3 linked regions of the Drosophila melanogaster genome follow. The protein of the gene in region 1 interacts with the protein of each later gene in a pairwise test. Each region holds a gene or a part of one and is shown in the gene's direction. Other genes may lie near its edges.

Region 1 (3,599 bases):
CCCAGTCAGAGATCACAGATCAGAATACCAACCTTCGTGGGGCTAACTCTTCATTGGGGTGATTGGATTTTTTGTTAGAAAATCCACAAGGAACTAAGTATTTTTTTGGCAATTCTTAACGTAACGTATCAACACAACTGGAACTAATTTGGAATGAAATTTTCAGTCAAAGGCAGATTAAGTTTTGATATTTTGGAACTTAAGAGCTGTTATTAACAACAAGAACTATTGTACGAAATGTCAAGAAATTACATAACTCCCACAAGAATATTTCAGTCCCTGCACGTCGATAAATCGAACCACCCTAGCCTTCCAAGGACGGCAAACATTGTTTATATATTTTTATAGAATGAATGGAAAAGATTGAAGGGTTAGTGAAGGGCAAGAGGAGCTGTAAGAGCGCCACAAAAAAACTAAAGAATCAAACCAGAGTAGTGCGAACTAGAACAAAAGCCAGCAAGGTTCGAATGAATCCCAAAGATAGTTGTTAGTCGTATGTTATAAGAAGAGCAAGTGATAACAAACTAAAACTCAGATCAGTTTCTTCAATGTCTTCTTCTGTTTTTAGTTACTTTTCCCAATTTTTATTTGGTTTGTTCCTAGGTTTGTTTGTCATGCGAAAGCGATTGCCAGTTGGATCGGGCTATTAAGATTGTGTATCTGCCAGATAATGTATCATGATGATTTAAATGAATCAGTTTTGTGAAAAGATTAATTGCCATTAATCACAGTTCTGAATATGAGCTTAGCACCATTTTAATACTTTTTGTTCGGTAAAAGCAGATCCGTTCGAGCACAGAGACCATGTCAAAAGTTAACTATAACTAACCACCATCCACTATCTAGTCAACTCGAGTTTACTTTTGCTACCTTTTGACTATTCGCAGTCAAAAAGGATATTCTCCAATCCGATGATATTTGTAGCCCGATCGGAAAAACCCCTTTTAGCCATCAGACACAGCAGACAAGCCTTAACTTTTGTTTCTCTTAATTGTTGATATTCTTCTAATGTTTGATTTTTTATATGCTTTAATTTTAATTTAAACGATTTGAATATTTTCTATGTATATGTTGATGCGTAATATATCTATCGTAATATTATATAAATATATATACAAAATAAAATAAACATAAACTTTAGTTATTCCTTTTCGGTTGATTCTTTCAATTATCTATGTATTGTCTGAATAATAATGAATACAATTTGAGCTCTTCTTATCCACAACAGAACCTTAAATAGCCTATATCAGGGATATAAACAAGCGAATAGCTACTTATAACAATTAATTGCAAACGCAGCTACCTCAACGTTTTCCGACCGAAAACACGAATAAGAGAGAATAATAGTTAAACAAAGTAAATTTATAATTAAAGAAACTATTTAATATGTTTATTGCATAGCAAACATGTGTAAAACAAAAGCAAAACAACAAATAAAACGAACTTTAAAAGTTACAACTATTTACATACATATGTTAACAAAAACAGAAACTTCTCGAACATAACTAATGTCCACAAATCCAAATGACTTAGACTGAAGCGTGAGTATGCAAAAAGTGTTATGAGATCTGCCCAAAAACCAGAAATTTGTTGAGGTTTATGTGGGCGGGGCTCTTGTCATCATGAGTTCCACTTTACACTTACAAAAGAATAATAAAGAAGCCACAGTTAAATAAAATTGCGAACAGACATTCTTAGCATGTCTCGAAAGTGTTTTCTTTTGTGCTTCACAGGGACGGACAGGTGGTATCTCAGGTGTTAGCAAATTACACATTAGTTATTCAAAATGGTTAATGTTTCCGTTTAAATGTAAAAATCATCATCTCGGTCACCACCAGTCATTGCTCTGGTTCCATATGAAATTTGTGTAAAAGTTTATGTTATTTTTACGCGCAGAAATGATATACATATACCTGTTAATTGATCTATCCTAGAATACGAGAATTCACTTTTCATGGCTCGATCACAAAGTCCGACATCCATTTGGTGTGAAAGTTCTTTCATCAGCCCAAAAACTCAACTCATTCATTGAATATTATGCAAATCAGATACTTTATAAATAAATGGCTTGGTTTATTAAACAAGAGAAATTAGCATACGATACAAATATAATGCGATCGTAAGACAAGACATATAGATCTCAAATGAGCTATCTTAACGGGAGTTTGAATGATTCTCCTCTGTTGCCATTTTTCAAACGCATTTATCCACATAAAAGAAGTGACTGCGATCTGATTTTCGTTAGTTCACAGCATGTCGTCGAATCTGGAAGTTCTCTCTGCGAACTGGACTATTCTGCTGGTGGCACTACTGTCTGTTCTTGGGGGAGTTTTCGCCAAGGATGATGCCTCAGTGCCCCGGCTGATCACCCTCCAAACTGGAAGTCCCGCTCCAGCCCCGCCACAGGAAGTGATCATAGAGGAGGATCACGATCATCAACATTATCATCCGCCACACTATCCGCCAAGCTATTCGTATCCGTATCCTCAGCCACAGCCATGCGGTTGTCCGCCCGGTCCTCCAGGTCCACCTGGTCCACCGGGACAGCCGGGGCAGAAGGGCTATCCCGGCCCCAAAGGATCCAAGGGTGATCCCGGCGAGAAGGGGCCGCGTGGAGATAAGGGCCACCCCGGGATGCCTGGAATCCCTGGCCAACCTGGTCCTCAGGGTCCTCCTGGATATCCCGGAGGTTCATATCCACCGTATCCGTATCCTCCACCTCCTCCTCCTCCATCACATGGACATGGAGGCCCTAAAGGCCACCAGAGGCACTACTATAACTACTATGATGAGGACGAGTATGATTACGGCAATGAGCGTTCTTTTGGTCTGAGAAAAACCGAAGAATTCGACGACCAGCCCTTCATTTTGGCCTTTAGTGAACGCAGAAATCCGTTTAGCACAAAAAACAATAAAAGACGAAATTAAAATAACATTATTTAAAACGAAATAGCTTTGATAATTATTTCTGTAGGTAAAAAGCAGATACCCAATACTTAAAAGGAACTTTCAAAATTCTTTTGAAGAATGTCCTTTTTGACTTTTGAGTGGCTTCGTTTATAAATGACACCAAAAATCATACAAAGTGTGGGTTTATCGATTACCTATAAAAATATACCACGCACTCAGCGTTTAAATCGAAACCTCTTTACAAACTGTATATTATTAGACATTTGTTAAGTCGTTTAAAATCTCACATTACATTAGGCAGAAAAGCTGGCTTAAACTATTAGCAAACATCGTCGTCTAGGGCGGTGTGGTCGTCGCCCTCCTCCTCCGCTTCCTCATCCAATCCCGCTTGCGTGGCACCAATCTCCGCGAAATCATCCTCCATGGTATCCACAAAGCTCGACACCCTATCATCGCAGAACAAACAGACATTAGAAACAAATAACAAAGACATTCGTTGGCTGGCATCACTTTTCAAAGTCGCACTGCGGCAGGAGACCCTCCTCCTTCGAGGCGCTGAATCGGAGCAGCGTGCACAGTCTGAGGAGTCCGAGGAGTATCAGGAACATCCCGGCCACATAACTCAGCCACAGATTGTGGGGATACAGGATCAGGCAGATGCCGATGACCGCATAAACAGGAGTGGGTCG
Region 2 (4,315 bases), about 15 Mb from region 1:
CGTCACCGTCGTGATGTGAGCCACTTGCCCTCCAACGAGTACCTGCCCCCAGTCCAGGCTGCTGCTCCTTCCAACGAGTATCTGCCCCCAGTGTCCGCCCCCGTCCAGGTTGCTGCCCCAGCTCCCGCTCCAGTTCAGATCGCCGCCCCTGTCCAGCTGGCCGCCCCCGCTCCTGTCGTGGTTGAGGCTGAGCCCGCCCATGAGCTGGCCGATGACGGTTACCGTTACAAGACCCATCGTCGCGTTGTTTACCGCCGCCACCGCCGTGACGTCAACGAGCTCTCCAACGAGTACCTGCCCCCCTTCGCAGCTCCTTCCAACGAGTACCTGGCTCCCGCTGAGACTGCTCCTGAGACCGACTTGGCCGTTGATGGATACCGCTACAAGACCCACAAGCGCGTGGTAACCCGCCGTCACCGTCGTGATGTGAACGAGCTCTCCAACGAGTACTTGCCTCCCGTGCAGTCTGCTCCCTCTGCCGAGTACCTTGCCCCCCAGGAAAACACCGTCGAGGCGGCTCCCGCCCATGTCCTGGCTGATGATGGATACGTCTACAAGACCCACAAGCGCGTTGTGTTGCGCCGCCACTAAATCATCCGATAAAGGCTTCACTAGGTGATCGAATTGTGCTCATTTTTGAGTGCAGACCCTACTATTAGAATACCTCTTTTTCATTCAAATACAATAATACGATAACGAATCCATACATTCAGCTCTTTTTAATTTTATTATGTTGGGTGTACGAGCTGGGTGATAAAAGGTTATATGTATAGAATTGACTGAAGGAGGAATATATTCGGATAAAACATAAATCTTTGCGGATAATATATAAACCAGAGAATAATAAAAAACGACAAAGTTTTTAAACATGTATTAACCTATTTAAAAATAATAATTTAATGTAATAATATAAAAAGGTTTTAGGGCTAGAATATATTCATTATTTCACGATCTAATTATACACATAAGAACGTGGGATTAGAGAAGCAATATACACTTGACACATAATCGAAATTGAAATCTATTTATGCCGAAGCTTCCGCAATCTCATCTTCAAAAAGTTCAAGCCTGCTTAACGCTTTTAGACCATTTACCTACAAAAGTAAGGGTATGTTAACTTTCTTGGATGGTGTGTCTTTTTAATATGCCGTTATTAATTTAATAGGTTTTTATGACCTAAACGCTTATGTAATTTATTAAAATGTTATTTTATAGTGGATATATTATTTATATACGATTTGCAATTAAATATAGAAACGTTTTGTTAGCAGAATCTAGTTCGAGGAATAGAATTAATTACCCCGTTTTATTAATGTTTTCCTTCGACTCTTCATAAAAGGTAATTTTTCCAAAAGTGTATTCAGTTCATTTTGTTCAGGTTTTCTTTCAGCCGGTGATATACAATCGCTTTCGACAGTCACATCTATGTATTGTTTCGGCATTGAGGTCGTGATTTATTTCCGCAATTTGATTGCTTTTTCGGCAGTCATTTCGCTTCTTACCAACTGTTTTTAGCCTTTTCTCCGCTCCGCTATCGAACATCTGCTTTTATTACCCGAAGTCATAGAACCCGATTAGTACCAGTTGATTAAGCCACAATATAATTATCGACAATTAAGCAAATTGAGCTGGGGTGGGTCGGAATTGGGAATCGAAATTGGCACGCGTTTGGTCTGGGAGAAATTGGCAAGTGCGGATAGGGGAACAATGGAACCTGATCTTGGCCACTAAGTATTAACGAAATATACTTAAAATATTAAGTGGCCGTTTGGATGATTTGGCGGTTAGGCCGGGGGTGAAAGGGGGACTCCCAAATCGTGGCTCATGATCTCGCTGGAGTTGAGCAGAGCGCAAAACCCGTTGCAAACCTGCTTGCAAAACTATAATGGATATGTTTTGGCGGTGTCACTAAATACAAATTCATAAATTAAATAGTCAAATGCAAATTTCTCGCCGCAGGCCGGTGATTAGAATCATATAAATAAGCCGCAGAACATTGTCTAAGGCATCACTTCCACTTGCACTCTCCGTTCAACTGGACAGCCGAGCACCCAGCAAAATGGTATTAACCAGGAACGGTGCGCCATTAGGATAATCAGCTAATATGTGCCATTTTCTCCATTGCAGAAATTCTTCTTGTTCTGCGCCTTCATCGCCGCCGTGGCCGCTGATGTCAGCCACCTGCCATCTAGCCAGTACCTGCCCCCCGGCCGTGGAGCAGCATCGGCTCCCGTGGCTTCCTACTCTGCTCCTTCCCAGAGCTACAGCGTAGAGGCCTCGGCCCCAGTTGCCTCCTACTCTGCTCCCGTTGAGTCCAGCTACTCCGTTGCTGCTTCTGCTCCAGCGGTGTCTTATGCTGCTCCAGCTGTGTCCTACGCCGCTCCCGCCCAGAGCTACTCTGCTCCTGCTGCCACCTACACTGCTGCTGCTTCTGCCCCAGCTGTGTCCTACGCCGCTCCTGCCCAAAGCTACTCTGCTCCTGCTGCCACCTACACTGCTGCTGCTTCTGCCCCAGCTGTGTCCTACGCCGCTCCTGCCCAGAGCTACTCTGCTCCTGCTGCCACCTACACTGCTGCTGCTTCTGCCCCAGCTGTGACCTACGCTGCTCCTGCTCAGACCTACACCGCTGCCGCTTCCGCCCCAGCTGTGTCCTACTCCGCTCCCGCTGAGTCTTACGAGACCGCTGCCTCTGAGCCCGCCCACACCTTCTCGGCCAACGATGGATACCGCTACAAGACCCACAAGCGCGTGGTCCTTCGCCGTCATCGTCGTGGCGTGCCCTCCAACGACTACCTGCCCCCCTTCCAGGGAGCCGCTTCTGCCCCAACCAGTGAGTACCTGCCCCCAGCAGCTTCCGCCCCCGCTCCAGTCTACCAGAGCGCTGCCTCTGCCCCAGCTGTGTCCTACGCCGCTCCCGCCCAGACCTATTCCGCACCTGCTGTCTCCTACGCCGAGCCCGCCGAGAGCTACGAAACCGCTGCTTCTGCTCCTGCCCACTCCTTCTCCTCCAACGATGGATACCGCTACAAGACCCACAAGCGTGTGGTGCTCCGCCGTCACCGTCGTGATGTGAGCCACCTGCCTTCCAACGATTACCTGCCTCCAGCAGCCTCTGCCCCAGCTCCAGTGTACTCCGCCCCCGCTCAGAGCTACTCTGCTCCCGCTGCCACCTACACCGCTGCTGCCTCCGCCCCAGCTGTGTCCTACGCCGCACCTGCCCAGAGCTACTCTGCTCCTGCTGCCACCTACACCGCTGCTGCTTCCGCTCCAGCTGTCTCCTACTCTGCTCCCTCTCAGAGCTACTCTGCTCCCGAGTACTACAGCGGTGCCGCTTCCGCCCCAGCTGTCTCCTACTCCGCCCCAGCTGCTTCCTACTCTGCCCCAGCTGAGAGCTACGAGACCGCCGCCTCTGAGCCCGCCCACTCCTTCTCCTCCAACGATGGATACCGCTACAAGACCCAGCGTCGCGTGGTCCTCCGCCGTCACCGTTACTAGAGGCTCCAACGAACCCCCAGCGAACCGAGCCAAATCCTGTTATTTGACTCACGGGTTTCATCTGGGAAACGAAATTAATAAATTCATAAATAAAAAAAATATTGAAAAATACTTCCACTGCCTGATTAATTAATCGACTAACAGGAAACCCCATTGACGGGAGCCCCCTTATTTGCCTAACAATAATATTGCATAATAGAATAAGAAGTTTTGGCCACTAAAGCCAATGATTATCAGGCATTAATACCGAGCTGTCGTCAAGCGGAGACGATACAGCAACTGAAAAAACTAGTTCAAATCGAGATGCGGAAACTCGTTTAATGCTTCGAAATTAATTTTTTGTTCAGCAAGTGCATTGTCATCTGAAGCTTCAAGTTCAAAGTCAACCATAAGAAAATTCGAGGCATACTTTTTGGCCTTTGTAAGATTTATATGGATGTAGTAAGCATATAGTAAGTGTATATTTATGTAGTAAGTCCCTCGCGGCAGACTACAGAGTTAAAAAAAACCCAGTGAATTATGGATCTATTTTGTAAGGCAGACTTATTAAAAAATTTATCTTAGTAATATAAAAAGCCTCAATGTATAGCATTATATCCGTATCACAGAAAGACTTTTGTTATTCCGGCTAAAAAATAGCAGGTTGAATGATTCCAATGCTATCGCGTTACCGAAGTTTGAGCAGAATTATTAATTTCTTGTTGCCCAAATGTACTCTACTTTTCGGCAAGCCAGCACTATAAACTGCGATGTCTAAAAGTATGTGATTCGACCGAATTTTTAGTTTATTCTAGATGGGATCTGCTGTTTCACTCTAAGA
Region 3 (5,304 bases), on another chromosome or scaffold:
CGCACCTGTGACCTAAGAAAACATACAAATACCTGTTGAATAAATCTTAAAGCATTTTTATACAATAAATCATTATTAATCAAGTTAAAGCTTAGCAGGTGCTGAACAAAATTTCAATGGAGCTTAACTTTAGTGGTATTTTAGGGCTGTGAATGTATTCCATTAATTGGATTTTTAATATCATAGTAAAGTTGCAAAAACCAAATAGAAATAAAAGTGCGTGTAAGATATGTAGACTATTAAATACCCCTAAAGTTGTAAATCTTTACCTAACATTCATTTGATCTTTTACTTATAGATATAATACGCAAGCGAGGTATAATGATTGTCAAGGGCACCAAAGGAAAGCCCAAACTGCTGATGGGCGGCTACGAGTGAGTCTGTCGTATTATTAATATTATAAATAATATAATATAAAATTTTACCATTCCAGGTATTATCGCAACAATTCGCGGGGCTCCAAAACGTATTGGCTTTGTGCTCGGAATCGATACATGCGCTGCGCTGCTCGAATTATCACGTGCTCGGTGACTGGGGAGCTGATTATCAAGAACCAGCAACACAACCACGACACACTCAACCAGCCCAAAACTGAAATAAAGGAGAAACCACTGTCCTCTAGCCTTAAGTCTAAAGATCCCGAGCATTAGCCAATGCACCCCGCTCCATTCTGCTTCAAAGTCAACTCGATGTACCCATCTTATTTATACTCTATCTACATATAAGGGTAAAGCAATTTATTTTAGTTCGTTTAGACTAATGACATGTATGTGTTTAGGTATCGCGTGTATTAGTTAAGACCTTGCTACAAAGTTATCAAGTGCATGCCTTAAACTTTTATTTTAGTTTTAAAAGGATAACGGTATGTTAAAATAATAAAATAGGATTTGCATTTTTAGGAACCAATTTATTATATGCAAATAAGCGCGATACCTATGTATGTAAATGCGCATCTAGTGTTATGTCCTTGGGTGTATACCCATGTATCCAATAGGCACCCCAAGCTAATTTTTCTTTAGCTTTTTTACAGTTTATTATTTATTTAGCGTATAAGAATTAATGTCTCAGAGTTGCAACTTTCTAGTTTAATACTCCCAGGTATTTTTTTTAAATTAGAATTCTAAGGTGTATTTTGTGGGACTCTATCAAAAATTCTCTTTTAGGTATTAAATAACAATAATGAATCAACTTTTTTGATCCATTACCTATCATCTATGCTACTTTTCAAAAATCCCCTATTCCGTGCAAGTCAATACTACGTAAAAAGAATTTAAAATTCCTTGTTCGACTGGATTTCATTCTTTATAAAAACCGTATGAAGTGATTGAGTATGGGAATTGGAGCTTTACAAGGCCACGAAAAACTGTTTTATAAACAGATACATTCTTTATTGGTTCAACGACCCTTTGTTGCATGGCCAGCTCTCAAATTGATACCGCACACAATGACGGGCCTGCTAATTTCTTAAGTAAACTTTGTGGGTCTTGTTTATACAAATCGAGTTTCAAGCAAAGAGTGCGAAGTGTGGAATGACAAGAAAGCTGATTCAGCTTTCGGGCCACTTGAAATGTGTCCCTAAGTGAGGCATATTAATCTGCTATTGAACGCATTCGTTTGCATTCAGACAGTGGCTACAAAAAGTTGCCTCTTACTTCAGAAAAATAAATAAAACGACGTTCAACTTTTACGGTGCCATATTTTTACCTTGCAATGTGTATCTAGTGCGTTTTTAATAGTAAAAACATATGTTTACATTGTTGAAATGCAATATTTTGAAAATCTATTGTGTTTGAAAAGTTGTATTCAGCTACCTCGGGAAGCTTGAGCATCGAATATATTACTTAGCTCTTGTAGTATATCCAAAAGTAGAAAAAATAATTAAAAATGAATGCTTAAATTGCAGAATAATGTTTCAAATGAATGCGCCAATCGCAGTCGTTTTGCTGAGATAAGATGAATGGTTCGAGTCCGCGCCAAATATCTGTGAGATTGCAGCAGTGCTGCGCTGCGGTCATACTGCAGCGGTGAGATACAATCCCTCGGAGGCGAATTCGTTTACCGTACCGTATCGAAAAAGTTATATTCTCTCTCGAAAACCCGAAGCGAGCGGACGTGCAGCGCGTGCCGCGTAGAAACAGATACACAGCCCATAGATACAATTTCCCTTGGCTCGTTTCGTAGGTGGTGTGTATTGCAGCAGAAGCATCAGCGAACGAGCAAAAGCGTCTCTGCGTGTGAGAGCGTTTCGGTGAAAATTAAATAAAACAAAGAGCCAAGTGAAAATCGGTTCGAATCGCCAATTGCCCAGCGATTCATTGGGAAAATCAGAGGGATAAGAACAGGCATTAGGAAATAGTGTGTGTTGTTTGGTGTACTGCAGATTGAAAAACCGCTGCGCGCGTGTGTGCTTTGTGTGCGTGTGATTCGGCCGATGCGTTTTGCCTAATATCAATAAGAAGTGCAAAAAATACAACTTTGTCTGCTGGAAAAGTATCTAAACCCAATTATTCGCCGAAGAGCATTCGTTTTAATTCGATTGACACAGCGAGTGGGCGAGAGGGAGAGGGGCGACTTGAGCGAGGTAATATAACTGTGCAAATGGTGGTGGAGCTGTGAGCAGCAGCGACAACAACAAATGTAGCGCCGCCGCTCAGATCTCTTCGCCGCTTTGCTTTTGCGCAGAGAACCTCGGCGAATTGCTGCGAATTCGCCGCAGCTGTGTGTTTGGAAACACCTTGCTCCAATATTTTAACACCCCCCGCCCGCCGCACCATCGTCGGAAATATCCGATTTTGCACGACCATCGCTGTTTCAGTCTCAGTTTCGGTTCGCTTCGTGCGCTTTCTGCTGCCCTGCAGCGGAAAATTCAACGAAAATTCACTGGGCAGCTTGCAGAAACTCCCAAAAAAAAGGAAACGGAGGAGCAGCGAAAAGGAAAACCGAAAACGGGTTGCGATTCTTGCACTTACCAATGCTGGTTGGCTGCGTTCCGCACGCGATTTCCTCTGTTGCTGCATTTTCATCCAAATTTAATCCCAAGACAACGACAACAAGAAGAACGGGTAAAACCAGGAGAACGGCAAGAAGAAGAGCCCCAGCACAAGGTGAAGAAGAAGAGCCAGCTCCAACATTGTCGCCGCGACGTCAGCGTCGCTGCAGCACCGCAGCTTCATCAGCTAGCCATGAACTACAACTACAACAACAGCTACAACTACAACTACATCTGCAGCACCACCAGCCCCAATAACAACAGAAGCAGAAACAACAAAAGCAGAGAACAGGTTTGTACACACAAAAAATTTGGTTATTTCTAATATGCCCCATTGGTTATTCGGCTTTTCCAATTGGACCTAAGCTCCAAGCGGTGTCTAACGGTTCTTTTTGAAATGTATCTATAAGATGCCTGAAAACTGCATCTTTTAATATTAACCTTATGTCAGTTGTATCAATTCAATGGTTTCTTATTCAGTATCAGTTTTTTCAAAACCAAAGAGGTTTTTTGTGTGAAAATTTATCGTTGAAATTTACTTAATTTGAGTATTACTAATGACCTTTACAATTTCCTCTAAGAGGCAACATGAAATGCTAGCTCCTTGATTTTTACAACGTTTCATATCTCCCCTTTCTGGCTACTGGTTTTTAAATATTTTATGCGACTGCATTTCATACTATGCACTATTACAACTTTACTGAAAATAACTTGTCATATTTATTATTTTACAACTTCACTTTGGATTTTATTGTGCTTAAGATCTTATCTGCGAATATTCTGTATGGACCTTTAAGATTGGGTTTTTCTCAGTGCACCGACTCGCCGTCGTTGCTCTCCACTCGCTCGCTTATTCATAACTTTTTTGGTTATAGATTTTTGTCACCCCAACCCCTAAAACTGGCGACCCAACCTCATCCGATGTCCCCCTCCGCTCGTCCCCTCGGCACACCCCCCACGTAGCGCCATCATCCTTCAGTTGCTCACATGCTCGACTGTTTCAGTTTTTCAATTATTAATGGTGGCCATTAGTGCGCGCGCCGTTCGACCGCCCCGCCCCCTTTGGCTGGCCGCCCCTTTGCGGGTGTCGTGTAGACGCTTTTTTTCCTTATCGGACAAATTGTGTTTGTCTGAAAAGTTCAATGAGGTGCGCACTGCAATTGCACTAGCCCCACACCCGTGCACCTTTTTCCCTGACCAGCCGTCATATTTATGCTATCGACATTTAGATAAAAATCATGTTGGTGCCGATGTACATTACATGCATGGCTTTTCCAGATATCAGATACCAGAATGCCGATTGAGCAGCCCGCAGCACGGCGGAAATGTATTGCATTAGGGGAATTACTCCGGGACGGAACGGGACGCAACTCCGGAGTTGTTGATTAATTCAGCTCGAGGTGCGTGTGGGTTTGGAATGGGTAGTTGGGTAGCTGGGTAGTTGTTTGCCCGATGTGAAAATTCTCTATTTATATTTATTGCTCAGTTCGTTGCTCTGGGGCGAGATAAGAAATGCCTCTGAGTCATTCGGTTGAATAAGGATTTACGTATTTCGCAGGAAGCTTTGTGCGAAAGTTGACAAACGGACGATAAGTTGTGAAAGGTATGTAGCTGTTGGGGTTTGCGACAAAGCAGATGTGTCACCTAAACAGGGGTAAAGCAACGATAAAAGTGTCATAAATATGTACTCACACCTACTACTAACATCTGCTCCAATTATCTTGGGTAGGAACTGGGCACATTTGAACATTGATCATCGAGATAAAATGCGGCGAGCAAACAGAGCGTCTTTTCTAATCTCATTTTCAGGTATATTATATCTAAATAAGATAACTGCATTGAATCGGAACATTATTTTATTCGGGTTGTATGCATCCAGATAACTCAAAAGTGCATATATTATAAGCTGTGTAGATCGAGTTGGAATTACACAATAAAGTATTTACCTTTTAAATAGAGTCTGTTTCCCGTCCTGACTGACGATTAACTCGAATAAAAAGGTCTTACTGTAAAAGCCTTCTTATGTCAAAAATAGGGGACTTGACTGATTTATATGTTTAACATTTGGTTATTTTTGATAATTAATGGCGGCATTGGAACAAACTAATAGACTACTGGAGACTGGATTATTTCCCTAACGAGTAGTTAAATAAGAATTCTGGCATTATCGATCAATTAGTGCAAAGTGTGTTCTGCTTAATTGTTTAGCTCCCCTTATAGAAGCCCACGTGGGGTTAAGAATATGCCTGTGTTATTATCCCATCTAAGTCGCACTTAACTCCCAACGCCCACCCTTAGGACCCTTAGAAGTCCAG

Evidence for each region. The genes of interacting proteins can lie anywhere in the genome.
Region 2: the proteins of CG14089 (region 1) and CG11350 interact in a two-hybrid assay, tested with the Drosophila melanogaster proteins (one large-scale study listed by BioGRID).
Region 3: the proteins of CG14089 (region 1) and aus interact in a two-hybrid assay, tested with the Drosophila melanogaster proteins (one large-scale study listed by BioGRID).

Annotation. Positions count from the first base shown.
Region 1 is NT_037436.4:19,279,455-19,283,053, reverse strand, and holds CG14089 (uncharacterized protein), read left to right. Parts: upstream 1-2,253; coding exon 2,254-2,928; 3' UTR 2,929-2,934; downstream 2,935-3,599. Other genes in the region: CG14086 (uncharacterized protein), read right to left, coding at 3,230-3,356, 3,421-3,599.
Region 2 is NT_037436.4:4,480,785-4,485,099, forward strand, and holds CG11350 (uncharacterized protein), read left to right. Parts: upstream 1-2,024; 5' UTR 2,025-2,059; coding exon 2,060-2,062; intron 2,063-2,127; coding exon 2,128-3,495; 3' UTR 3,496-3,586; downstream 3,587-4,315. Other genes in the region: CG7465 (uncharacterized protein), read left to right, coding at 1-591.
Region 3 is NT_033777.3:21,346,373-21,351,676, reverse strand, and holds the start of aus (argus), read left to right. Parts: upstream 1-2,075; 5' UTR 2,076-3,182; coding exon 3,183-3,281; intron 3,282-5,304.